7 linked regions of the Coturnix japonica genome follow. Each later gene encodes a partner of the first gene's protein in a complex. Links are inferred from orthologs where the notes say so. Each region holds a gene or a part of one and is shown in the gene's direction. Other genes may lie near its edges.

Region 1 (4,126 bases):
CCAATGATGGAGGAGTACGCCTGGATGGTGACAAAGATCTCGGGCTGATAAATAATGTCTGAACCAGGGATTCGGAAGGGCCTTAACAATCCCACTAAGCATCGGGAAAGAGCATGAAACACTTCATCAAAAATGATCTCTCCTGTTGAGTCATCCTACAGAAACAGAAGAGGAGAATTATAGAATCATTATAGCTAAGATTACCTTGTCCAACCATCAACCCATTCCCACCACACCCACTAACTGCACCTCACATCTCCACAGCTTTTGAACACCTCCTCAGTCCTTCTGACCACACTAGTTCTGATACAAGCCAGGATGCCTTCTTGGAGACCTGGGCACACTGCTGGCCCATGTTCAGCCAGCTGTCAGCTAACACTCCTAGATCCTCTCCCTCCATAAAGCTCTCAGCCACAGCCCCTAAATCAGCAGCACTGCATGGGGTAAACAAAACAGCTTTTACATCTTCTGGAATCTGCAATCTCATTGCACCCACCACACAGAGACAAGTACAAGCCTATTTCTGCAACAGCAGCTGCCTCAGAACGACCCCTGCAAGCAGAGGTCACACATTCTGCAAGGAAACAGGATCCACTGCAAGGCTGTGTTGCCAGCAGCAGTGCCTGCTTCAGCCCTCAGGAACACAGGACCCCTGCAGGAGTGACCACTAATGCAGGGACACACATGTTCTCAGCAGAGGGAACCAAGCCTGGTCCTTTAACACAAAACACCCCAGAGAGGCAGCTCCTGGACTCACCACGATGCCAGTGGAAGGGCTCAGATCGAGCTCAATGACAAAGCGGTACTGGCGGGCCAGGAACGTAACGCGCGTGGAGGGCACCAAGAGGTAGGGCCGGGGCTGGACGGGCTCATCCGGCTGCCATCCGTTGGGCAGGATGCTGAGCACATCCAGCTCGTTTTCTGACTTCAACTACAACAAGAAGCGAACGACAAGCATGAAACATTACTCCAAGCCAAAGGACACGCCGAGATGCAGGGCCACCATCCACCCTGCAGCACCCCCGGCCCCCACTCACCAGCTCGGGCTCGGGCACAGCCCAGATGACCTGGTGCAGCCGGCTGAGCACCCAGGCGAGCCGCACGTTGCGGGAGATGCGATAGTCCTTCTTCATCAACAGGAAGACGTGCCCAGCCTCCTCCACCTGCAGCAGAAGCACAGCGCCTCGTCACTCCAGGCCGGGCACCACCACAACCCCCGACCTCTCTACACAGTTCCCGGTCTCAAAGCCGCAAACAACCCCGCCTCCCCTCGCCCCGCAGCGCGTTACCCCTCACCTCAGCCTCGGGCCTCTCGGCAGCCGCCATGTTTGCCCGGCGGCCCCGCCCCGCGCCCTCTGACCTGACTCGGAAGTGGAAGGCTGCCATAACAACAGGGCCGCGCAGCCATGCAGGTGAGGGGCTGTATGGGGTTGAGCAGGGCTGTATTGGGCTGGGCTGGGCTGGGCTGGGCTGGGCTGGGCTGGGCTAGGCTAGGCTAGGCTAGGCTAGGCTAGAGGGAGCAGTAGGCCCGTATGGGGTTCCGCTGTGCCCCGTGGGCCGGGCTTTGGAGGAGTAAAGCAGTGTGCCCAGTTGTTCGAGAAGGTCTATGGTATCTTGGCTCGTGGAGGCTCAGTGTATCCTATAGGAGCGGGGTGGTGGGCGTCCCTCTGTGCTGACATTGGTTGAGGCCGCATCTCGAGTGCTGCGTTCTGTTCTGGGCCCCTTAAGCAAGAAGGGCATTGAGACCTGAGCGTGTCCAGAGATTGCGACAGGGAAAGTGAGGGGTGGAGGCATTACAGAGAGCAGCTGGGGGAGCTGGGATGGTTCAGTCTGGATAAAAGGAGGCTCAGAGGGACCCCATGACTCCCTTAAACTCTCCAAATATTTACAATGGGGTGGAGGTCGGCCTCCTCTCCCAGGTAACAGTGACAGGATCCCTTGCTTTCCTAATAAATCCCATTATTACTTTGATTTCCTCGACTTCTTGAGCCTCAGGCTGATGTTTCCCTGGGTTACCCTCGGATAATCCTCAGATCTTGTTTGTGAGTGATAATGTTATCAGCTCAGAGAATGTCATTGTGTGTGTGTAAAGTCAGGGTTGTTTATTTCTCTTTGTTTCATTGTGTGTATTGCTTTATGTTTATTCTGAATTTCACCTTTACCTCCCAGTCATTCATTATCAGGAGTTCCTTCAGCAGTCTCTCCCGTAAATCCTATTTTATTACCCTGGGACAATTCAGTATTGTTAACAGACTCCTTGAATTGCTGCTTGTATATGTCTGTGAGAGGCAGAGTATTTCTTTGAATCATTGATCTTGGTGCACGTGTGCTTTGCGGTGCTTAAACTTACTTCCAGCTCTCATGGAGAGAGCACACAAAAGGAGGAGGCTCAGACTGCACTGTCACACAGTGTAGTGTGATTTCATTCACAATCTTTAGGGCTTCTTGGATACGCGCTGGCAATGGGCCACACCAGTTGTCTTGGTTGTGTGTACCTGCCACCTCTGCAGTGAGATACTGGCTCCCAGCCCAACTCGTAGTGCTGTCAGTGGTTCATCTTGCTCAAACACAACGTGCACAGTCAGCGTTAGACTTGTTTCTTAAGTGCACAGGAACAGACTAGTCCCATCACAGGATGGCGGAGAGCTGCAGTGCTGTAGCTGTGAGTTGTAACCCCGTGGTTTGCTCTGTTAATCCATGCTGTGGATTGGAAGTGGATTTTAGCCACATTTATTTTGCCATTTCTTCTAAGGTAGTGAAGTCTTATCAGCAGTCTATGGAAAAAAAAACAAAACCTTTATAGTCTTGTCAGACCGTGAGTAGAATAATTTCATGTTCTCTTAAATGTGGAAGATACTTGATGATCTCATGCTAGTTTCAGTTTGTTTAAACAGCACAAGGATCCCAATAGTGAGCGTGCAAGCAGACTGAGTCACCCCATCTGCTTTCCCAATCAGCATTCCCTTTCTATTATTTAACTGTATTGCTGTGTCTCACCCTCCTCGTGGATTATTGTTGTACAGTCCTTGACTTACATTAGCAGTCCATTAGGATTGGGGCTTTAATTACATTTTGTGCAATTCTGTTGAATGAGTAAGAATAGATAAGGTTCTAGAGGGTTTTCGCAAGAGTCGGAGATATTCTGTGCTATATGTGACAACAGGTCTCCTCTCCTATTGCTTTGTATGTCACCATACTCCTCTCAGCTAGGGGAGAAGATTATTTAAGCAGTGCACCAAGGCAAAAGGCAGCAGGTGATCTCTGCATGTGTCTAACTACGTCACTGACACTGCAGCGCCTTCCACAGCTGGTAAGGGACAAGGAATTTTTAGGAGCTGGATGCAGCACCTGGACAGGAAGAAAGTGAGAGATGAGGGTAAGGGCAGAAACTGGAGTCTTTGGGCCACTGATCTGATACTTGTTTTGCAAATGGCTGTGCTGGGTGAAGACATCACTGTGCCTGCTGTCAAAGGGTGCTGAGAATGCTAATCTGCTTTCAGCTGGGTTAGCATGAATAACTCACGGAGGTGGTGCAAGGTAACTTTGATGACTTTGCCTGATGCAAGTGATGTATAGGCTTTACTTATCTAGATCTTAAAAATGACAGCTAGCCATGGGTTGGCTCAGGTACGAGTCTCTTCCTAAATGTTTCTTACAAGGAGACAAGATAAGTGTGAAAATGTAGGATTTTTATCTACGTGGTCTCTGTTTCCTTGCCTTGAAGAGGAGTCTCTCCATAGGAGAGGGTGGAATATGGTTGCAGATGTATGGATCCCCACAGTCCTTGGAAAGGTACAAAGCTTTGTCCTCACCCCTATCTTTCATTCTTTTTTTCAGAGAGAGGAGAAGCAGCTGGAGCTGACCCTGGAGGCACTCATCAGCCAGGTGGCTGACCTGAAGAACTCATTGGTCAGTTTTATCTACAAGCTGGAGAATGAGTACGATCGACTCACATGGTAAGGCATCCCACAGAGACAGGGCACTGTCACTGATCGCTGCTGAAGCTCTTCTAGACTCTGCCCAAAAAGTGTAATTAAAAGCCACTAACTTGCTCTCCACAGGCTTACCTTCACTTTTCATGTTAACGTTGGTGAAACTACTGAGTATCTCCCACCCGAAAAACAGT
Region 2 (3,500 bases), on another chromosome or scaffold:
CTGATACCCTCTATCTTAGGAGATGTAGTATAAATGAGACACTTCCTGAATCAACACAGCACTGTTATCTGTCCCAGTGCAGAAGATTAGTAGAAGACTATTTGCCTCCATGTCACCTGTTGGGCACTGAAAAAAAACTTTTATGGGACAGCATATGAGGTCAAACACACCAGTGCACAAATGTGTACATTGCTACCACACAGAGAATATCAATAGGAAATATGAACTACTACTTAACTCAAGTAGATGATACTATGCAGTATTCTAGATCTGAATTTGCATCCTCTTGAATAAAAAGGTGATGCTTTTGGAGGTGCACAAGGAAAGAATGAGGTGCAACAAACTCAGATTAGAACATAAAGAATTCTAGTCAGGCATAAGGAAAAATAATTTCTTTTTTTTCTAAGTTGTCCTCAGAGATGTCCAAGAATCAAGTTTTTTAATACAGTAGTAGACTAAACCTCCAGAGGTTCAGTCCAATATGTAATCCTTGCTATTTAACAGGAGAGGCCTACACTCAAACTGTATGTCAAGTACAAATAAGCTAAGAACAAAAATTTCCCCCCACCTCTACCTGCACGCACTTTGTCCTCACTTTCCTACTTTGCGTGCACCACCAGCATTAATATAGTCCCTTCCACATCGCATCATCAGGGGAAAAAAAGGAGATAAATTTAAGTAAATCTAGAAAAAATGAGAAGTAAAAACTCCAGTTTCATTTTCCTTGCATTTCTCTTTCACAGGTTCGTTTTGGAGCAGTATAATGCACTGTCTTGGCTTACGTGTAACCCTGCCACTCAGGATCGCAGCTCCTGCCTTCCTGTCCACTTTGTGGTGCTCACTCAATTGTACAATGCCATCATGAATATACTTTAATAGATAGAAAAGCACTTGTTCTTCTGGCTTATTCTCCCCTCAACGTGAGAAACGTGCCACAGTCTGCAAAGATCACAGTTTTGCTTCTCTTCAGACCAGTCCTGTGCTGTGCTTCTGTTCCTCCAAAAGCACATGTGAATTCTGCAGTGTTGAAAACACCCATTAACATCTCTGGCAGCTTCAATCCAATTCTGGGAACATCCGAGAACAATGAACACAGAGTAACCTCAAGTCGGCGTTAGTTTGGTGGCCCAGTAACTACTGGTCAGTCTGATTTATTTTTATTTTTATTTTTTAATATTATTTTATTTTTTTAAGGAAGACTACAGTATCTTTTTGGATTAGGAACTCTGCTGAACAACCGTAAGCAGTTTCAGCCCCACAAATGAAACCATCGTGCAGTGACCGCTTTGGGCTGTCCAGAAGTTCTTTGTTCTTTGGTCATCATTAACTGGGACTTGGCAGGAAAAAAACCTACACACCATCATAGTCTCGTATGAATATTGCAATTTTCTGTCTACCTGGAGTTCCTGTCAGAGTGGATTGGGATGAATGCATGCATTTGTTACCTGTCCATGTAGATATGAATGGTCTGGAGATATTTATTTTATTTTTAGGTTTGGGGAGGGGAGGGATTAAATTATAAAGGACCAGGAACAGTAGGATATCTTAAAAACCCAGCTCCGTTCCACCTTAGGGTTATTTATCTACATACCTCTCGCTCTTCTGACCTAGAAATCGAAAAGCTAATAACAATCAGAGTCCCACGTGGGAAGGGGAGCATGTCCTGATAAGGATACACTTGTGTTTTAAGGAATTCTCACCTGCATTTAGCCTGGTTAAAGTAAGGAAAGACCAGTGTTTAATGAAGGATAACACTACCTAATGGAAGAAGAGTAACTGAGAGGTAGGGAGGAAAAATACTTTAAAGTTCTTTAAAGGGCGAAAGGAAAGTGGTAAATTAATCTATTGTAGAGCTATGATTGAAATATATTTCCAGTAAATTTAGTGATACTAGAAAACTATTTACTGAAACCCAGGTCGCCCTGTAATTCTGGGCAGACTCGTCCGTGTACATATCCAAAAATGTGCTTTTTGTTTACACGAAATCAGTTACAAATCTGGTGTATTTTTTCTGACTTATAGGAATATTATTTCAAAGAAATAATTTTAAAAAGAAAATTATATCATTAAATTAGTACTTGAAGTTCTGCCGCTGCGGTGGAAAAGTTACTTTGTTGAGTAAAATGATCGCCATTTGAAAGGTCAATGGCTAATTGAAGTATTTTTATGACTCCTTCATTCCAGGCTCCGAGGGGTTTATATTTAAGCTCCTTTTTTCTGATGTTTGCTGTTGCAGTGTGCAGCAGGCACGGGCTGCTGTGTGCGAGGGGTCGGGCACTTTGATCAGGCGCTGTGACCTATAGCTGTCTATCGGCGGGGGAAAAACCAACACGTTGTAAAAGTTCTTCCAAAAGACTTTCATGTTCTGGTGGGAAAAAATAATAATAATAATAATAATAATTAAAAAAAATGAAATTCTATGATTTTAAAAAGTATTTTTCTTGAGATAATGTAAACATTTAAAGCAAATGATATAAGAATCGCTTGTGTCATGGAAGGGTGAAGTCAGAGAAGTAACCTGTAAATGGATGATGTCGTTCTCTGCACCGAACCTCCCGTGTGGGTTATCCTCTTTGCAATGTATAGGTTAAAAAAAAAAAAAATCTGATATCAAACCATTTGTATCTAATGTGTGTACAGTGTAAAATTGACTTTAAAATATTGCAGTACTATTTTTTCTTAATCAGAAGAGAAAATTCTCAAGGCCTTTTGAAGAGCATCAAAGATGAAGATTGTAAACTTGTATAAAAAAAAAAAATTAACTTGGGGAGGAAAAATGTAAAGTAGCCATTTGTAATCTTTTACCATTTGGGGGTTATTTGTTCCCAAGATTCATCGGGACTTTGGATTATGATTGAGTTTGTTCTTTTTAAATGGGTCATTTTTTATCTAGGGGCATTTCTTCCCCAGAAACCTGGTTCTGTGCAGACATGGAAAATCCAAAAGGGCAGCGAGGAGTTAGTTTTCATCTGGTGTCTTTTATTTAATTTTTTTAAGTTAAGAGAATCTGGTGACATATTTATACGTTTTTGTGCAAAATAAATGAATGGCAATAGATTTTAAAGAAAAATCTTATGTACTTCAGTGTGAAAAGTTCTGTATAATATTTTCCTTAAATATGCATTATTTTACTTGTGAGTTTTTTACTGAATTAATCTGAAATGTACCAAGCCCTGGCTTTCCTACAGAGTGAAGAAAGTTATTTTATTTTTTCTTTTTATTTCTAACTTTGGAAATTCATGGCTAAATCAGAATTATTATTACAGTTGTTTGAGCTAAAGGGAGAGGGAGGGGGGGAGGGACGGGCGGGGAATGTCCAGCATGCTTGTATGTATATTTCAGAACTTTTTTTAAATGTCAAAGCTGTACATTTCTGGGGAGTTCTGAATTTCTTTGGGGGTTTTGGTTTTTTTTGTTTTTTTTCTTGTTTTTTTTTTTTCTTGGGTTTTTTTTTTTTTTCCTCTGAGCATTTTGCAGTGAGCTTCTTTTCTATCTAGCCG
Region 3 (3,500 bases), on another chromosome or scaffold:
ATTCTGAATGATGCGGGGAACTGTGTGTTTGTATACCCAGGGATGGCACTTTCAGTCTAAAATCCTGTACCTCTAAATGGAAAGATTTTCACTTCTTTATTTGCCACCTGTTGAAGGTGGGCTTTCTGGTTCTGACTTCTGCTGCAGTCTCAGAACTGTGTATCAGTCACTTAGAGTATTGAGATCTCTAGAAATGCTTTCTCTGTGGGTGTAGGTGTGGTATCTGCTGCTGCTCTTAGTGTTACGGAGGAACTCTGATAGCACTGTCTGTCTTTGCTCTCCTTTCAGCTGATCCTGGGAAGGAGAATGAGAAGGTGGAGTTTTTTAACCTGGTGCTGCTGTTCTGTGAGCTAATCCGACATGATGTCTTCTCTCACAATATCTACATGTGCACACTCATCTCCCGGGGTGATCTTGCCATGGATTCTCATGGACCTCGTCCTCCCTCACCCTTTGATGACCCTGCTGAGGAGCATGACAGGAAGGAGACAGAAGGAAACAGTGGGATCAAGCTAGAGGTGAGAATACAAGATACGCAGCTCTTTTATGTGCTTCCTCTTGTTCTGCTTCTCCACTCATACCAGCTTTGCAGACTCCTTGCTATTACTTGCTGGAAGATGGACCAGTGACTCATGTTTCTCATTTCCCCAAGCTATTTCCTTAGCACTTCAGTTGCAAAAGTAGAGGCTTGTGTTCTAAGTGGGTAGAAAGGTCTTGCAGAATGTAACAGGGTAGACAGGAAAATCTTACTCTGAGCAGCATATCAAGTGCTATGCAAGGCCAGTCTGTGTTGTCAGGTGTTTGCAGCATATGTGATTCTGGCTGAGTTTCGTTTGCCAGGCATCATCCTTGTTGGCAAACTGCTGTCACTGTCCAACATGGAAGTGGGGTGCTGCAGTAAATGAGTCTTGTCTTGTTTCCTGGTGTATTATTGAGATGTAAAGCTGCTCTGTCTGTTCTCAGGACACGGGTCTCTCTGAGCCTATGGACATTGACCACAATTCCAGCACGATCTTTGATGACATGGAGAAAACAGATTTTTCGGTATGTGCTTGCTGTTTTGCCTGCTACTCATAAGTAGATTATGTTGTGCTAGCACCAGGGACATGTGTGGGTTCTCCCTCTCTACTGTAGAGCTGATATGTTGGAAGTGTCTAACTTGTAAGGTAGCAGACACTGTGAAAAGTTCTTCTTGGCTTCTTTCACCTGTCTTAATTATGGCATGACCACGTTCCCTAACTGATTTGTTGTTCTTGCACCTTCCTAGATGTTTTCTCCTCCAATGCATTGTGAATCTAAAGCCAGCCCTTCCCCTGAGAAACCAGATCTTGAAAAGGAAGCAAAGCCTCTGCTGAAGGACAAGTCTGCAGAAGGAATGCTAGCATCTCTGTATGACCAGCCTCGACACATCCAGTATGCAACACACTTTCCTATTCCTCAGGTATGAGACCTGCTCGTAACCCTTTTCCTGCTGCTGCCTTGTGCTCTGATAACCAGGCTGCTGTGTTTCCCTGCAGCACTACTGTAAGCATGAACCTGACTGAACAGAGTTGAACCTGATCTCTTTCTGTTCTGTTACTGTGGGTGGGTGAGGAGTGCAGTCATGTTTTTCTGCATTGCTGCAGGAGAGTGATCTACTTAAGACACCTCTTTGCTTACTCCCAGAGCAGCTTCTGAGATGAAGCTTTCTCTTTGCTTTTATGAGATCCAGATGTGAAACAAGATTAAAGTATTCAGCTTGATAGTTGCTAATGCAGTTCTTTCTCTTGGTTCCCCAGGAGGAATCATGCAGTCATGAATGTAACCAACGGTTGGTAGTTCTTTTTGGGGTTGGAAAACAACGGGACGATGCTCGGCATACAATCAAGAAAATAACCAAAGACATCCTAAAAGTTTTAAACAGAAAGAGTACTGCAGAGACAGGTCAGTATTGCTTGAGCCAGTCTTTCCAGTTGACTGCCTCCTTTGTCTGGAGTCTCACAATGAAAGGATTTCATATGATCTGCAGTGCCTGGTTGGCTGTATCAGTCACTGACTGTCTGGGATGGTGCTCTGTTCTCAAATAATAATGAGCAGCGAATAAGATTTGTTTCCTCCTGCCTAGATGTGTTCCATTGAATCTACCTTCTTCGGTAGGTGCTTAAGTCATGTCAGTTTCAGAGTGAGACCCTGGCGAAAATCGTGGCATTTTCAAACTTTATTTTCTTAAGCTCTACCATTTAAATCTTTGCACAAAAGCAGCGGGAGCTTTGCCTGTGAATGTTAGGCAAATACCCTGATTCAGTGTAGTGTGTGCTGTTATGCTAAGCATGCTGGTTAGGGTGGCAGGTTTGGATAGTTGTGTCAATACTGCTAGGAAACCTCTAATTTCTATTGATTGAGAATCTGGCTTCAGGATTTTTTTTTTCTTTTTGTTGGCCTGATTCTTGAAAGCCAACTTGAAACATGGTGTGATTCTTCAAAGGTGGCATGCTCTAACAGGCTTCTGGGCTGAGCCATCTCCAGTCCAGAACAACTGTTCTCACCAGGGAGTCAGTGTTTCTTCTAAATGGGGGGGAATATATTTTCCCCCTTCACTCAGGATAAGCTAGATGTTAACTGTGCTGTCATTCTTTGGCTAGAAATTCTTCCCTTGACAGTTTATTGTTGTGAATTCATAATGGTCCTTATCAGCTTACAGGTGGAGGATCAGGTTCTTTGGCCATGCTGCTTGGCAGTGTCTGGTCTTGCTGAGGGCCTGGCATGTGCTGATGACTGTTTTCTATTCCTCTTCTGATGAGGAAGGTAGCCTGATACTATTTTCTAGTCCTCTCAATTTTTGTAGGTGGAGAGGAAGGCCAGAAGAGGAAAAAGAGCAAGCCAGAAGCATTCCCAACAGCTGAAGATATCTTTGCAAAGTTCCAGCACCTTTCTCACTTTGATCAGCACCAAGTCACATCTCAGGTATGAAACCTTCAAGACTGCTGTCCTCTTTGGGCCCTGACTGAATCTCTTTGTGTTACTGAGGACAGCTTCCTGCAGGGAAGAGGTGTTGGGGCTGCTGAGGGGCTTCTGCAAGGGGAGATAGCACAATGTGTCACCTTACACTTGCAGGTATCCCGCAATGTCTTGGAACAGATCACCAGCTTTGCCTTGGGCATGTCCTACCACCTGCCTCTGGTACAGCATGTGCAGTTCATCTTTGACTTGATGGAGTATTCACTCAATATCAGTGGTCTTATCGACTTTGCCATCCAGGTAAGCACAGTGCTGAAGTGTTCCCTGGGGAATCAGTTCATCAGCCTGAAAGGCAGGAGATACGTGCTGTGATAGCTGGGCTTCTGTTAGGGTTCTCTGACCTGTGTTGTGGAGGTGGTCAGAACTGATAGTCATTGCAGTTCTCCTGGGCTGCAGCTGTTAGGAATGGGTTGTTTGCAGCAGATAGTCTTATGTGCCCTGTTGGAATGATTATTCTTCCAAAGGTTTTCAGGGTTGTTTCCAAAGGATTTACATTGCACCTC
Region 4 (4,085 bases), on another chromosome or scaffold:
GCTCTCAAAATGCATTAGGAAAACAAGGGTTCAGCACCAGTGCTCAAACAGAGAATAGGGTTAGCAGTTCAGCTCCTATAAAAAGTGAAACTGAGGCAGTGATGTTATGATTTGATGATGATAAAAAGGAAAATTCTTGGCTCAAACACACAGCTTAATACCTCTTCCCTGAAAGTCTGACTAAGCTAATATTTAAAAGCATAAATAAATCCAGCTTTTCCTAGAGAATGTTCTTAGTTTTTGTAATATGACTCCAACTTTCAATTTTGTTCCTAGTTTTGATGGCCAAGAATTGCGTTCTTGCACTTTACTCTGGCAAACCTACGTAGTAATTTAATTCATGTGACCAAGCCTTTCTTAGGATTCTCTCCTCTGAAGTCAGTCTTGGGAGATACATCGTGTTCCAGAATAGCACTGCCAATGCGTGGGATATGTTTGATCTCTGCTTTTAGACAAAAGTCTGTATTTACTGGGGAGTGACCTGCTAATTCTGTTATAGTAATGGTAGTACTCCACAACCACTAAAACCTTGGGGAAAAAAGAAACAAAACACAAAATTATTTTATTAAGGAAAGCAATGCAGAAGTCTTTTTTTAGGTGGTCTTATAGCCTAATTTCTATTGGGGCTGGAGGGGAACAGTTACACTACATAGAAAGAGATAGCACTACAGGAAAATGCTGAGACACTGAAAATAGTTTAACAAATCACAAATTTTAAAAAAGAATTAGGATTCGTGTTGAGCCTGTATAGTGCAAACTGTTACACAAGTGCCTAATAATGCAATCATAGCAGCAATGGAACTCAGGTAGCTTGACAGTGCTAAACCCCACCAGTCTTTGTTTTAACCAAGATATGAACATCCAGTGTGTGACCCCAGACATGAATGCAGCATTAGGAATAAATCTGCAACCTAAGTGCTGAACTCTTCTCCAGGTGCAATAGCATAGTGCTGTTCTGCACCCCTGGCGCATCTGTTTAACTGGTTTCACTACGACATAACTTCTTAATAAATAAACTGCAGAGGTTGTGTGAGATCAGCTCAGCATGAGCTGCCAGGGGGAAAGGGGAAAGGGAACGGGAAAGGGGAAAAGGGAAAAAGGGAAAGGGAAAAGGGAAAAAGGAAAAGGGGAAAGGGAAGAAAGAAAAGCACACACATGCCTAGGAAAAAATCCATCCCAGAACATTGCTCCTACAGGTACCTTCCAATCGTACTGCCTGTCTGGTAACAGCTCTCTTTCAAGACAAGGGGAAAAAAAGTTGCTCCAACTTTAGTTTATTTCAAAAGGTCATTTTCTACACAACTCGCATCATTAACGCAGCTCCTCACCACCACAGACCTTCCCATCTTGCCTCGTTGCGCCTCCCGCCTAACTCCCGCCTGCCGACAGCGGGCGCTCCCGCCGCCATTTTGAGGCCGGGCGGGGAGCGGAGCCCAGCACGCCGCCATGGACGCAGGTGAGCGGCGCGGTGCGGTGCGGTTCGGGCAGGGCGAGCGACTCCGGGCCACGGAGAGCGTCGGTGGTCCTGCCGTGCAGAGTTCGGGCGGTTCGGGAGCGATGGGCCGACAGGCTCCGAATCGTTTTCCTCGGGAGGGGCCCGGGGCGGTCCTGCTGCGCTGCCCTCCCGGCTTGGCCCTTCTCAGGCCGTTGGCCCCGTTGGGGCCCTTCGCGACGTTCATGGAGACACCGCGGCTCTTACCTGCCCGGACGCCATGGCAGCGGACATCCCACGTTGCATCTGTGGTCGAGGAGCTGAATCTTTTATAGACCCCGAGTGTTTGGATGGAGGGGACTTTATTTACAGATCGGACCTCCCGCCAGAGCGGCCTGCGCGGTGCCCCTTCCAGCCTTCCCTTGTGCAGCTCCAGGGATGGGGCCCCCACAGAGAGGGGCGGCCCGTGCCGGGGCCTCACCGCCCCTCGGAGAAGAATTTCTTCCTAACATCTAACCTGAGTTTCCTATTGTTTGAGTTTAAAGCTGTTCCTTCTTGTTCTGTTGTTTTCAGTCAGGGTGGAAAGTCAACATATTTTTCTATAAGCTCCCTTTCCACGCTGAAAGACCAGAGTGAGATCTCCCTGAGCCTTCTCCAGGCTGAGCAAGCCCAGCTCCCTCACCCTTTTGTCATAGGACAGCAGAATCTTGTGCTGACCCCTGGGTCTGTCATCAGTGCCTACTGTACACCAATAGTGTGAGAACACTGCAGGATTCTCACTAAACTGAGACATCTCTGTACAAAACAAACAAAACAAAAAGCAGCCTCACGGTAAGCATTTCTTAAATTATGTGCAAGGAGGCTTTCAGTGAGCTGCTGGTAGTGTTCTTTTCTTGCCTTCTTATATTTTCCTTGCACTAAAAGCAGGCCCCTTTCCCTTCCCTTTTCATATATTCTACATAAAGTGTCAGAGAGCATTTCTCCATTATTTGCATCGTTTTTAGTTGTTAAAAAAACAAACAAACAATAGTACATGTATTAACATGGGCCCAACACTTATTCATGTAATAGAAAAGACTGCTAGATGAGCCCATACTTGTGGGCTCTTGGTGCTTTATCTCCTCTCTAAACGTTTCTATTTTTGTGGCTCAAGTTGAGAAACTTACTTTTAAATCTGCCATGTAAGTCCAGTTTTTACTGTTTTTTTTTTTTCTCTTGTATTCAGATGATACAGGAAATCGACTTAGGTTCCAGTTGGAGTTGGAGTTTGTTCAGTGCCTAGCAAATCCCAATTACCTCAACTGTGAGTACTTAATGTCAGGGATCCTGAGAAGTTAATGTTATTTAACAGTTTAATGATTACGTGTAATGGTAAACTGTGTGTGTGTGTGTGTGTGTGTGTGTGTGTGCAGAGGCGAAGGGTAAACAAAGAAAAGGGAAGAGATCTTTAAGGAAAAAAGTAGTCTGAGGATAATTTAATTTGTCCGAATTTCAAAGGTGAGGTAGAAGAGGGAGGAGATGACACCTTTAAAATGTGAAATGATTATTTCTTGAAATAAAACACAACTGTCTGGTGGAGAATAAGTGCACATCTGTAGTAGAAAATAAATAATAATAATTACATTTCAATCTTAGAAGTACTCATATCTGAAACCAACATTTCACTAATGCTTATAATAGTTTCAGGTGGAATTCTTAATTTCTTTGGTTTTCCCTGACAGTTTTGATGTCAGAAGTTCCTATTTTTGAAGACATCGCATCCTTGTTGCTGTATAAAAGTTATATGCTAACTCACTATGCTTAACTTGTATTAGAGTGTTGACTTAAGATATATTTTTCCCTTTGTGTTTTTTTTTTATTGAGTTGTAAAAAATTCCTTGTCTCTTATTTCAGTTCTTGCACAAAGAGGATACTTCAAAGACAAAGCTTTTGTAAACTATCTTAAATATTTACTGTATTGGAAAGAACCTGAATATGCAAAATACTTGAAGTAAGTATTAAAAGCCCTCAGGTTTCTGCATTTTAATGATTTTTACCTTCTCTTATGCACTGTAAAGTAGCATGTGCATATTTGATTTCTCCCTGCAGCCAAAACATGCACTGTGTTTATATGCAGTATAAATTTTCCTGTTTCCTGTAGTCTGGGATAGGCACAATTAAAGAACGTTTCATTCTTGACATATGCATGGAATTTTCCATTTGCAACCTTTATCTGCACCTTCTATCTGCATAAAGCAAGATTACTGAACATCACGGGACAAAACTACTTCAGCCCATTAAGAACATTCTGAGAGTGATTTTTGCCCTGTTGATAGCTACACAAAGAATCGTTTTTTTTCATTTTTTTAATTAATGTTTAAACTCAGTTATTGAAATTTTTTTTGTTTACTTCAAATGAGCTCTGGAAAGAGCTATTTAATTAATTAGTTTTTGTTTTAATGAAATCTAGTATTTATAAAAGTTATTTTAATCAGCTCCGTGTATGTATTTATATTGTTATTGGATTCCCTGTTTTCTAGCCTTGTAGTTACTGAAGGTATTAAGTTACAGTGTATGGAAAAGGTACAGCGCTCACTGTTTCAGGTACTTGAGTAAGGCACTAAATGACTAAAATAATGGAGAGATACTGGAGACTCCAGTTCTAGTGCACCTT
Region 5 (3,500 bases), on another chromosome or scaffold:
TCCTTTCAGCAAGAAAGCGAGTGTTTAACAGTTATGCCTCAGAGATGGCTTAGCAGGCTAAATAATACAAAGGGTATACTAGTTAACCTATGCACACGTGTCACTGGCTTAAATTATTGTTTTTAACCCTGTAATGGTTTCTACTTTGAAATGCTCTGGTTTTTATTTTTAGAACAGCTCCAATAGCACCATTTTTACACTGTTAAATGTCGACTTTGTGTAGACACAGCTATCTTTCTGTTAGAGTCAGCTTTCAGTAAAAGCAGTACATGGTTCTGTTTCTTAGACTGGTAAAACAGAACTCCTTAAACACTTTAATTGTTTCTCCAATACAGACAATAAAAATACTACCTTTACTTTTGCTTCAATTTGCTTATTTGCGGAGCAGGGATAATTAATTTATGGTAGAAGAGAACACACTCTGCAGAATGGCACTGATGATGTTATAATAGTGTTTCCAAACAGACTTCTGCAGTGATTGCAAGGAAAACAATGGTTGTCTTTAATAGACTTTTAAAGAGGAAGAGATCTCACTTTCTCTATTTTGCCCTGTATACTCTTTGTTTCTACCACATGGGTAACTGGCAAAATGTTTATGAATCATGTAGTCTAAAGGAGTTGTTATGCTCTCTTTGTTTTGCACAGGAGGATAGTGAATGACACGTATAGAACTGATCTTTGTCTGCTGTACCCTCCTTTCATGATAGCTCTAGGTAAGTAACACAAGTAACGTCACTGTCACCTTTAAATAGATGCCTTCTGTACTTTGTCCCATCAACAAGTTTTCCTTAGTACGCTCTCTTAAGCTTCTCCAGTTTATATTTCATACAGTACTGACAGTATAACCTTGCAACTTAGAAAGCCTTGAAGAAAAATCAGGTAATTAATCCCCAGATTTCTTCTTTGAAAACTCGCTGAGATTTTTTGCAGAGGAACTGAGGAACTCCAAACACCATAGAAAAGTACCTGACTTGGAGAGTATTTCTAAGTGTATTAAGAGATACTCAACAATGATTCACTCTTATCACCTGATCTTTGCAGCTTGCCTACACGTGGCCTGTGTTGTCCAGCAGAAGGATGCGAGGCAATGGTTTGCTGAGCTATCTGTTGATATGGAAAAGGTACTCTCTTTTTACCTCCTGCCCTCTGCTATGGACTGACTAGAAATGTTAGCAGTGGTTTGAACCTGTTTTGCATGTGTGTGATACTGATTTGAACTTCATTCAGCAATCGCATTACGGACTATTGAAATTAGGTAGGAGATAGGAAATGTCAGGTCATTTGGGTATCACTCTGCACTGAAAGACAAGACATAAGGGCAGAGCATTGCTGCTGTTGCCATTTTACAGACTGAAATAGAAAACCAGTATCTTGTTTGTTTATTTAATTTTTTTGCTAGAAGAAAAAAGAATTCCCAATATTTATTGCTCAAGATTGAACAGTATTCTAATAAACAACATATGTTTGACATGTAAGGTTATCATAGGCTTGGTGTTGAATGTGTTTGAATGTTTAAACGTTTCTGTTCCCATTACCAGTGATTACATCTAAGCTTGATTTTTTTTAAAAAAAATTAATTTTTAGATTATTATTATTATTTTTAACCTTTAACACTATGGAACTTCATAGCCAAACATAGTTTCTGGTTCAAGGATGTATATTGTTCTAGCATTTGATCAAAGTCCATAAACTGGAAAGAAGTTTACTTCATTAATTTAGTAAGTGGCGAAACAAATAATGAAGCAAACATGGTTTGATTTCTGGGTGGCACTTTGTGAAGCTGGAGTTGGACCTGATCCATGTGGGTCCCTTGCAAGTGGGGTTATTCAGTATTTATCCACCTTCTGTGTAGAATATTGCACTAGAAAATTAACAGGAAATTAATGTAGCCTCCAAACTGGTAGAGAATATTTATACTTCTGGAAATAGAGTTTGAAAATTCAACAGTTCTTATTATAAAGTATTGAGACACTTCCTAGCTCTTGATTTTTTTAATTTTATTTTTATTATTATTTTGGAAGTAAAGAATTCAGGGCACCGTTGGTTGGTTTCATTTGTTTTTAGTACTGTGCCCCCATGGCTGGTATAGAACACAGACAATAATCAGTTACTTCATTTGTAATCCGTAATCATTTAGCAACAAACACGTTGCCAAGTGTCCTTGTTTTCCCAGTAGCATCAAATATAAGCAGCCGTTCGACTTTGGGAGGAGAAATGGTTGATAAAGTGGGAGGGAAATGGAGTGGGAGAGAGAGATATTGGTTCTGTCAGGCTTCAGTTCAACAGTTAAGCCAAAAAACTCTTTGCAAAAATGGTTGATTGCCAGACCGGATTATATAGGAGACAGCTCTGTTTCTATCATGAGAATTATGCTTCTTAATTTGAGTTTGAGAAATGGATAATTAACTGTACACTGCAAATGATGATATAAATATAAAAGTCACTATTGTGATTGACCTAAAATGTACTTTCTTTCAAATCAGATTTTAGAAATAATCAGGGTTATTCTGAAGCTGTATGAGCAGTGGAAGAACTTTGATGAGAGAAAAGAGATGGCTACTATCCTTAGCAAAATGCCTAAACCAAAACCACCTCCAAACAGGTACCATACCTCCATTATTTACTGCACCTTTCATATGGGAAAAAATAAAGTATTATCTTATGTGCTATGTTAAGTTTGAGGCATAGTGTATGACTGCACTGCCGGCTTTCCTCTAAGTACCCAGTCAGACTGTTCAGGAGGAGAATATTTGCTCTTTCATGGAAAGCAGTAATGTAGTTAGAATCTGATCAATACAGTTTAAAAGGAGCAGTGTGAGGCCTGATGAAAGGGCACGATTCTTTAGAACAGTGCCTGTTTGATGTCATGTTTAATTGCTGTGATTAAATATCATTACGTGGAATCTGCACGTGCAAATTCCTATGTGTGAGCTTCTGTTATGGGAACTCTGAAACGCTGATTTCAGGAGTGAATTCAGAATGGAGTTGCATTGGAATATTTTGAAATCGCTGTTCAAATACATGAATAAATGTTTTCTGTTTGCAAAAGACAGAAATGCAGTACGGTGCTGCTGTTCTGAGACGTGTTTCTTTTCCTTTCAAACAGTGAAGGAGAACAGGGTCCAAACGGTAGCCAGAACTCTAGTTATAGCCAATCTTAAGACATTCCAAAGAACTTCTTTACGGACCACTTTGACTCAAGACATCCTGGGATCTTTCCTGTGTTCATGAAATGGACAGAATTTTTTTAATACCATCTTTGACAAAGAACTTGAAGAATAAATAGCTTGTTTGTGTCAAGCATTTTGGAAGTTTATTCTTTAAAACTGCATCATTTTCTCTGACGCTGGAGCAAATGTACTAAGATTTCTCAGTGTAAGGAATCAAATGTTAAACCAAGCTGCAGAAGGGTAACACTGTCCACTCAAAACAAGTAGTTCATTACTGGTTTGGTTTGCTTTGAGAAAATTGTGGCTTGCCATTAAAAGTGATTTTTATAT
Region 6 (3,575 bases), on another chromosome or scaffold:
TATTACAAACTATCTTTTGTTCTCGGTGTTTGACACTTATTCCCCAGGAAGAGGTGTGAATCTACTGCTTACACTGAGATAAATGAAGTCAGAAAATCACACTGTTCTGTAATACTACAGGGTTGGGGTTGTTTTGTTTTTTGTTTTATTTTATTTTTTGCTTTAATTCCTTTTAAACTTTTTTGAGGGGGAATATTTATTTTAAGATTTTTTTTTTTTAATGGAATGTACTAATTAAGGGAATTCAGTGAAATGTCATGTTAATGCAACAGATTTTGTATTAAAATTCTGTACTTGGACCAGTGAAGCAGTCTCAGGTGTTCTTAATGTAATATAGAAAACACAGGCGTGTTCTGGTTTGATTCACCTTCTGGAAGGTTGCTGTCAGCATCACCCTGTCCAGCTGATCATGGGAGGAGAACTGTTCATGTGCTTGATGATCTTCTTAGGGGGCAGAGGTGGTGGCAGATCAGTGGTTTGGCCTAGATGTGTTCGCTACAGGAATGTGGTGGAGCTTTTAAACGGGTGTCTAGCAGAGGTGCTCTTTAAAATTCAGCTTCAATGTAAGTCATATGGGTTGTCTTGTAGTGCATCACCAAATCAACATTATTGTAATGAGCTCACAAAGCTGCTGTGCAAGCATGAAGACGTACTACATGCTAGATATGCTACGACAGCATGCAAATACCATGGATGCACATCTTCCTGGAGTATTGTTAATAGCTGTCACTTTATTTGAGGAAGATCTACTTTATTTCTGTGTTCACTCAGTGAGCTTATTTAAAGTAACGCTGTACTGACAATAAACAGTGGCTCAACGTTCATTATGATGGATTTAACTGGCTGTAGAATTAACATTTTGTATTATGACTAAGTCGTGTACATTTTGGTACAGAACTTCTTTTTCAGTTTGAGTAAAATAATCCTAGATTTACTGGCTTAATTGTGATACTTTCAGATTACCTCATGATGCAGTGAAATAACCTAGCAAACAAAAGGTTAAGGAAAACTGTCCAGCATACAGTGCAGTATTAAAGACTGAAGTGGGTCTGTGATACCAGCACTTCTCACCTGGTATTGCAGAAGCCGTTACATTAAAAAAATCCCTTTACAAGTACATCAAAGTAAGAGGAGAACCAAGGAAAATGCCCAACCTTTACTTGATGCAGCGGGGAACGTGATCACTGAGGAGAAGGCTGGGATTCTCTGAGGAGGAGAAGGCTGAGTTCCTCGATGCCTTCTTTACATCTGCCTTTAAGGGGCAGTGCTGTGTGCTTGGGGATGAATAACTGGATGTCTGTGAGGAGGAAAGGGAGCTGGTCGATGTTCGGCTGCTCCTCACCGCCAGGCCGCACTGTGGCGCCCGCCTCCTCCTTCAGGCCTTGCCTTTCTTCCCGCCGCCATCTTTACCACAGCCGCCAAGATGGAGGCGCCTCCCGTCACCATGATGCCCGTTACGGGCGGCACTATTAACATGATGGAGTACCTGCTGCAAGGTATGGCCGGCACACAGGGGCTGTACACGGGGCTCGGCCGCAGCGTGGGGCCGAGGCGGGCGGCGAAGGGGAGGTACCTCCCCGCGGAGGCCCCTTCGCCGCCTGCCTCGGCCCCGCGCTGCGGCGGGGAAGGGGCCATCGTCTGAGCCGTGTGTGTCCACCACAGGGAGCGTCCTGGACCAGAGCCTGGAGAGCCTGCTGCACCGCCTGCGTGGGCTGTGCGACAACATGGAGCCGGAGACCTTCCTGGACCACGAGATGGTGTTCCTGCTCAAGGGGCAGCAGGCCAGCCCCTTCGTGCTGCGTGCCCGGCGATCCATGGATAAAAGCGGCATGCCATGGCACCTGAGGTACCTGGGGCAGCCGGAGATCGGAGATAAAAACCGACACGCTTTAGTGCGAAATTGTGTGGACATCGCCACCTCGGACAACCTGACGGATTTCCTGGTGGAGATGGGGTTCCGTATGGATCACGAGTTCGTGGCTAAGGGACACGTGTTCCGAAAGGGGATCATGAAGATTGTGGTGTATAAGATCTTCCGTATCTTGATGCCTGGTAACACGGACAGCATCGAGCCGCTTTCCCTCTCCTACCTTGTAGAGCTTAATGTTGTGGCACCAGCCGGACAGGATATGGTTTCTGATGATATGAGGAACTTTGCAGAGCAGCTGAAGCCTTTAGTACACCTGGAAAAAATTGACCCTAAGAGGTTAATGTGATGAAAACTGGCTTGACTATCATAGCATTGCTGTAGCCAGAAGTGAGTGCAGGGACTGGTTGGAGTCCTATGCACACAGAACTTTTGTTCAGGGCTCCACTGCTTCCTCTCTGTGCTGGAGCAGTAAGCAGTATTAAGGTGCAACACTTATAAATAGAGATATTGACTTTATGTTGTTGGGGAGCAAGGGGTAAAAGGCTTTGATGTATTGGTTTTGTTTTTGTTTGATGCTCAGCCAGCATTTGGTATTTGGTTATGCAGGTTACATATATGCATAAGAGCAGAATGTATGTAATTCCCAGAGATGGAAGAGAATAAAAGTCTGTTTAGTGCATTATTCATTGGATAGTCGGTCCCTGATGTCTGAAAGGAGTAGTTGCAGGAATTGCTTAGTTTTAGATTTGAAAGACCTGAAAGATTCCCTCCTAGCAAATCCAGACTGGGAGCTGTTTGTTATTGGAAGCAGCTTTGTTGTTAGTGTAGAACAGGAAGCTCTGGGTCTGCAATTATAACCTGGGGGGAAGAAACAGAATTAAGACCCTTCACAGCCAATATGTTGGCTCAGAAAGTTGAGCCCAGTGCCCCCGAATGTGCCTGTAGAGAGTCAGGTGGATGGGGCCAGGCTTTGACTGTTGTTGCCCAGTGTTGGGACACAGGAAGGTCCATCTCAAAGTGAGGAATTACTGCTTCATTTGGGGGTGACGTGGAGCAGGCTGCACAGAGAGGCTCCTTCCTGCTTACAGCCACTTCCATCAGCCCAGCACGATGCATTAGTTTCACAAAAGCAAGGTCAGGCATCCCACTATTTCTGTGTTTTTGTGCTCTTTGTATGTTTTATTAAAAATATATCTTCAAAAATACCCGTCAGCTATTTGCATTAATTTTGTATTTTCTTTGCAATTCTTTTTCACTCAATACAAGCCAGTATTTTGGGCAAACATGAAGTAGTCTTCATTTCTCAAGATCATTATGGAAACGTACAACCACGCTGCCTTTTACTAAAACACACCAATTGCTGTCAGTCGCTGTCATGCTTTAACAGCACGAATGTTGCTGTATCTCCAGCACTCCTCAGCCCTGGGTCTCCATTCTCCCCACACACTCTCCCCTAATGTTGTTATTTCTGTACAAATGAACACAGAAGCTGAAGTACAACTTTGGAAGCACTCTATATTGTCTAACATGCTTCTGATATGCGAGTGCAGGGTGAGACGTTTCACACATCAACAGCTTATGTGGATATTCCAGCTTTCACTTCAGCAACCTCGGTAACACAGTCAAGCTGCTTTCTGCTAAGTGCTTTACATACACTGTAGTGTATGTGTATGAAGCGGCATACAGCTTCAGACACAACCCAAGG
Region 7 (3,500 bases), on another chromosome or scaffold:
GCTCCCCAGGGAGGTGGTTGAATCACCATCCCTGGATGTGTTTAAGAGCCATTTGGATGTGGTGCTCAGGGATATGATTAGTGTAGGGCTTTTAGAGTTAGGGTACTGGTTAGGCTGCGGTTGGACTAGATGACCTTTAAGGTGTTTTCCAGCCTGGGTAATTCTATGATTCTATGATAACCTCTGAAAACTGGAACCATTTTAGCTTCCTCTTTTAACGGTATCTTTGCAGTGATTTTTTTTTTTTTTGCCTTCAGCATTTGTCTGTTATTGAGTGTTTTTGACAGTTGGCAGGCCGTGGCCTCATTAAAGGAAGAGACCATCTGATGTGGGTGCTACTGCAATTCATCTCTGGCAGCATCCAGAAGAACGCACTGGCTGACTTCCTCCCAGTCATGAAGCTTTTTGACCTTCTTTATCCCGAGAAAGAAGTAAGTCTTCTCTTTTATTATTATTCAGCGTGACACCTTTGTACACAGATATTATTATTGTTCTTCAGTTGATATTGCGTCAATGTGCTGTGTAGTTGGAGATGCATATAATTAAATGAAAGATTTCCAGTGCTTCCAGCTGTGTTTTTTCAATAACCATGAGCAGTGTTTTAGTTGTTTTGTGTTTTTTTTTTAACTTCAAAACAACAACAAACACAACCAAAGTCTTAAAGTCATGTGTTCCCTAAGTTTTGTTTGACTAAGGTTTTGAGAAGGTGTTTGTTAGAGCCCTGAGAATATACTATGGAGGAATAGTATACAGATTCATTGTTACATCTGAGAATATATTATCAGATACTTTTAGGTGCAAGTAAAATGAACAAGGCACTTTAAATTTGTTTAGTATTAATGACTGCCTAAAATTCTTTCTGTAATCTTAAATCAGTTCCTAGTTGTGCTTGGTATGTTCTAGAATGAAGGTTGTTGAGGTAGGGGAGAGTTAGAGGAAGTTATTAAACCTCCACCACAACAGTTATATCATCAAGATATCCTCATTGTTTGCTTTTACAGTGTCTTCTGTTTTGGGTCAGTAGATAAGTTAACATAAATGTGTGATATACCAAACTGATAAGGTTGAATGTACTGTTTTTTTACTCCTAGCAAAGTTTTTTGACTGACAGAAATTCTGTAGTACAAATTGTTTCGTGACCTCACAAGTGTTTCATTAGCGCAAACTATGAGAAGAGTGACTGCATTGGTTACTTTAACTGTAGTGATGGGCTTTCTTCAAGTTTATGTGGTACTTTGTGAATACTGGCTATGTTGTTTTTCTGTATATCAGTACACTCAACATCATCACTTTGATTGTTCTCTTCTTCAGTGTATTCCTGTACCTGATATTAACAAACCCCAGTCCACTCATGCTTTTGCTATGACCTGTATTTGGATTCATCTGAATCGGAAGGCACATAGTGACAACTCCAAGTTACAGATTCCCATTCCTCATTCTCTTAAGCTTCACCATGAGTGAGTTCTGTTGTTTTTTTTGTTACATTTTGGTTTGTTTGTAGACATAATGGAGTAAGAATCTTTGAGTCTATGTTCAGAAGGCATTGTGTGCTGAGATGTTGTATGAGGGTGATTAAATAATTAAAGCAGAACTGAGATCTTGAAGTAGAAATACTACATAAAGAAATCATTATACGTTAAAGGAAATTAGATTACATCTAAAAGGGATAACTCTTAAATTCTGATGGAGATTCAGAAAGAAAACTGATTACTTTGTTTTATTATGCAATGTGTTGGAATGTGTGGTACATTACATGTTTTTTCTGAAAAAGTCATTTTTGAAGTGTATTTTCCTTTCCTTTCAGAAGAAAATGCAGCCTGAGCAGATTTTTCTAAACAATGATTAGAGTTGTGGCAGCTCTAGTTATTTGATGCAGTGCAGTTGATAAATACTTTTTCCCATTATTTTAAAATGGATTTTTTAACTGGAATTATTGTGGTTCTAGTCCTTGAATCATACATGTACTTGCTTCTTTCTACTTAATGTTTGATGTGTTTTTGGTACTCTAGGTTTTTGCAACAGAGTTTAAGAAACAAAAGTTTACAGATGAATGACTACAAGATTGCCTTGTTGTGCAATGCTTATTCAACCAATTCAGAGTGTTTCACTTTGCCAATGGGTGTCCTGGTAGAGACTATTTACGGAAATGGCAACATGAGGATATCTCTTCCAGGAACTAATTGCATGGCATCAGGGTCTATAACCCCCTTGCCAATGAACCTCTTGGACTCGCTCACAGTTCATGCCAAAATGAGGTAGAGTATACAATTATACAAACATACAATTATACAAATACGGCTTTACAACAAGTGAATCCTTATGTAATTAATTTACAGTATGGAAATATTCCTGTGCTTGAAAATGCTATGTATAGATCTCTTGCTTTATGTCTTAAACATTGTAACTTGTATGTGTTTGTTTTTGACTGAAAAATATTTTCTCTTCCTCAGTTTGATCCATAGCATAGCTACAAGGGTTATTAAGCTGGCTCATGCAAAATCTAGTGTGGCCTTGGCTCCTGCTCTTGTGGAAACCTACAGTCGCTTGCTGGTTTATATGGAAATAGAGTCCTTGGGCATCAAAGGCTTTATCAGTAAGAAAAAAATAAACTCCCTCACCTCAACCCTTCCCTGCTCCTTTAGTTCAGTAGCACGTACAAGCTGTTCTGTATTTAAAAAATAATAATAATAATAAAATAATCTTAAGCAAAGGTTCTAAATTGGGAAGAAATTATATTCAGTTTAACTCCTTATAATACAGATATCAGCTGTTAATGTTCATTTGGAAGATTGAGCTCTATACATGCATGGCATCATAGAACACTGCGTGTATGTGCTATTTGTAATTAATACAACACTCACAAATCAAATGTCTCACTGTAACCATCTGTCAGCAGTGGTGTATCTTGCAGTTACATTTTGAAGCACAATCTCTTGGAAAACATATTTTATGAACTTTTTCCTAAGGTCAGCTCTTGCCAACTGTGTTCAAATCTCACGCCTGGGGAATTCTGCACACTCTGCTAGAAATGTTTAGCTATCGAATGCATCACATCCAGCCTCACTACCGAGTCCAGCTGCTCAGCAATCTTCACTCCTTGGCTGCTGTGCCACAGAGAAATCAGAATCAACTTCATCTGTGGTAAGTGATGGTTACCATGTTTAGTTGTAATCACAGATTTTTTTTTCCTTCAATGTACGTTGAAAGTTGTTTAAGTACTATAATACATTTGAAACAGGATGCAAGTACCTCCCACTCTTAGTTCTGTGACTGTGGTGTTTTGTGGAATCTCAGCAGGCTGCGTTTTGGAGCTACAGTTAGATGTTAGTAGGAGTAGTCTGCAGTTGCAGCAGTCTGTCTCAGACATGGCAGCAGTGTCACAATCAAAAACAGTAACATGCATCAGCGCCATCATGTCAAGATATGTCAGAAAACTGTTGAGCTCCTTCCACAGGAGGAAAGGAGCAATGCAATGCCTGCTGCTTGTAGTCACAGGGACT

Evidence for each region.
Region 2: MED8 (region 1) and MED13L share a complex: the UniProt entries of both Homo sapiens proteins name them as parts of the mediator complex. The link is inferred for Coturnix japonica from reciprocal best matches to the Homo sapiens genes MED8 and MED13L.
Region 3: MED8 (region 1) and MED12 share a complex: the UniProt entries of both Homo sapiens proteins name them as parts of the mediator complex. The link is inferred for Coturnix japonica from reciprocal best matches to the Homo sapiens genes MED8 and MED12.
Region 4: MED8 (region 1) and MED31 share a complex: the UniProt entries of both Homo sapiens proteins name them as parts of the mediator complex. The link is inferred for Coturnix japonica from reciprocal best matches to the Homo sapiens genes MED8 and MED31.
Region 5: MED8 (region 1) and CCNC share a complex: the UniProt entries of both Homo sapiens proteins name them as parts of the mediator complex. The link is inferred for Coturnix japonica from reciprocal best matches to the Homo sapiens genes MED8 and CCNC.
Region 6: MED8 (region 1) and MED18 share a complex: the UniProt entries of both Homo sapiens proteins name them as parts of the mediator complex. The link is inferred for Coturnix japonica from reciprocal best matches to the Homo sapiens genes MED8 and MED18.
Region 7: MED8 (region 1) and MED23 share a complex: the UniProt entries of both Homo sapiens proteins name them as parts of the mediator complex. The link is inferred for Coturnix japonica from reciprocal best matches to the Homo sapiens genes MED8 and MED23.

What each region holds. Positions count from the first base shown.
Region 1 is NC_029523.1:17,388,685-17,392,810, reverse strand, and holds the start of MED8 (mediator of RNA polymerase II transcription subunit 8), read left to right. Parts: upstream 1-1,326; 5' UTR 1,327-1,406; coding exon 1,407-1,412; intron 1,413-3,352; exon of another isoform or gene 3,353-3,370; coding exon of another isoform or gene 3,371-3,376; intron 3,377-3,837; coding exon 3,838-3,956; intron 3,957-4,126. Other genes in the region: KICSTOR complex protein SZT2, read right to left, coding at 1-155, 758-931, 1,038-1,163, 1,297-1,326. UniProt on the Homo sapiens protein: Component of the Mediator complex, a coactivator involved in the regulated transcription of nearly all RNA polymerase II-dependent genes.
Region 2 is NC_029530.1:10,498,891-10,502,390, forward strand, and holds part of MED13L (mediator of RNA polymerase II transcription subunit 13-like), read left to right. Parts: intron 1-743; coding exon 744-876; 3' UTR 877-3,500. UniProt on the Homo sapiens protein: Component of the Mediator complex, a coactivator involved in the regulated transcription of nearly all RNA polymerase II-dependent genes.
Region 3 is NC_029519.1:2,315,195-2,318,694, reverse strand, and holds part of MED12 (mediator of RNA polymerase II transcription subunit 12), read left to right. Parts: intron 1-288; coding exon 289-518; intron 519-963; coding exon 964-1,044; intron 1,045-1,267; coding exon 1,268-1,441; intron 1,442-1,778; coding exon 1,779-1,923; intron 1,924-2,824; coding exon 2,825-2,943; intron 2,944-3,093; coding exon 3,094-3,237; intron 3,238-3,500. UniProt on the Homo sapiens protein: Component of the Mediator complex, a coactivator involved in the regulated transcription of nearly all RNA polymerase II-dependent genes.
Region 4 is NC_029534.1:8,576,507-8,580,591, forward strand, and holds the start of MED31 (mediator of RNA polymerase II transcription subunit 31), read left to right. Parts: upstream 1-1,285; 5' UTR 1,286-1,446; coding exon 1,447-1,456; intron 1,457-2,657; coding exon 2,658-2,735; intron 2,736-3,325; coding exon 3,326-3,422; intron 3,423-4,085. UniProt on the Homo sapiens protein: Component of the Mediator complex, a coactivator involved in the regulated transcription of nearly all RNA polymerase II-dependent genes.
Region 5 is NC_029518.1:64,955,311-64,958,810, forward strand, and holds part of CCNC (cyclin-C), read left to right. Parts: intron 1-645; coding exon 646-713; intron 714-1,041; coding exon 1,042-1,121; intron 1,122-2,483; coding exon 2,484-2,602; intron 2,603-3,106; coding exon 3,107-3,161; 3' UTR 3,162-3,500. UniProt on the Homo sapiens protein: Component of the Mediator complex, a coactivator involved in regulated gene transcription of nearly all RNA polymerase II-dependent genes.
Region 6 is NC_029547.1:21,930,463-21,934,037, reverse strand, and holds MED18 (mediator of RNA polymerase II transcription subunit 18), read left to right. Parts: upstream 1-1,310; 5' UTR 1,311-1,423; coding exon 1,424-1,496; intron 1,497-1,662; coding exon 1,663-2,216; 3' UTR 2,217-3,075; downstream 3,076-3,575. UniProt on the Homo sapiens protein: Component of the Mediator complex, a coactivator involved in the regulated transcription of nearly all RNA polymerase II-dependent genes.
Region 7 is NC_029518.1:51,936,080-51,939,579, forward strand, and holds part of MED23 (mediator of RNA polymerase II transcription subunit 23), read left to right. Parts: intron 1-287; coding exon 288-431; intron 432-1,311; coding exon 1,312-1,457; intron 1,458-2,009; coding exon 2,010-2,255; intron 2,256-2,450; coding exon 2,451-2,593; intron 2,594-2,966; coding exon 2,967-3,141; intron 3,142-3,500. UniProt on the Homo sapiens protein: Required for transcriptional activation subsequent to the assembly of the pre-initiation complex. Component of the Mediator complex, a coactivator involved in the regulated transcription of nearly all RNA polymerase II-dependent genes.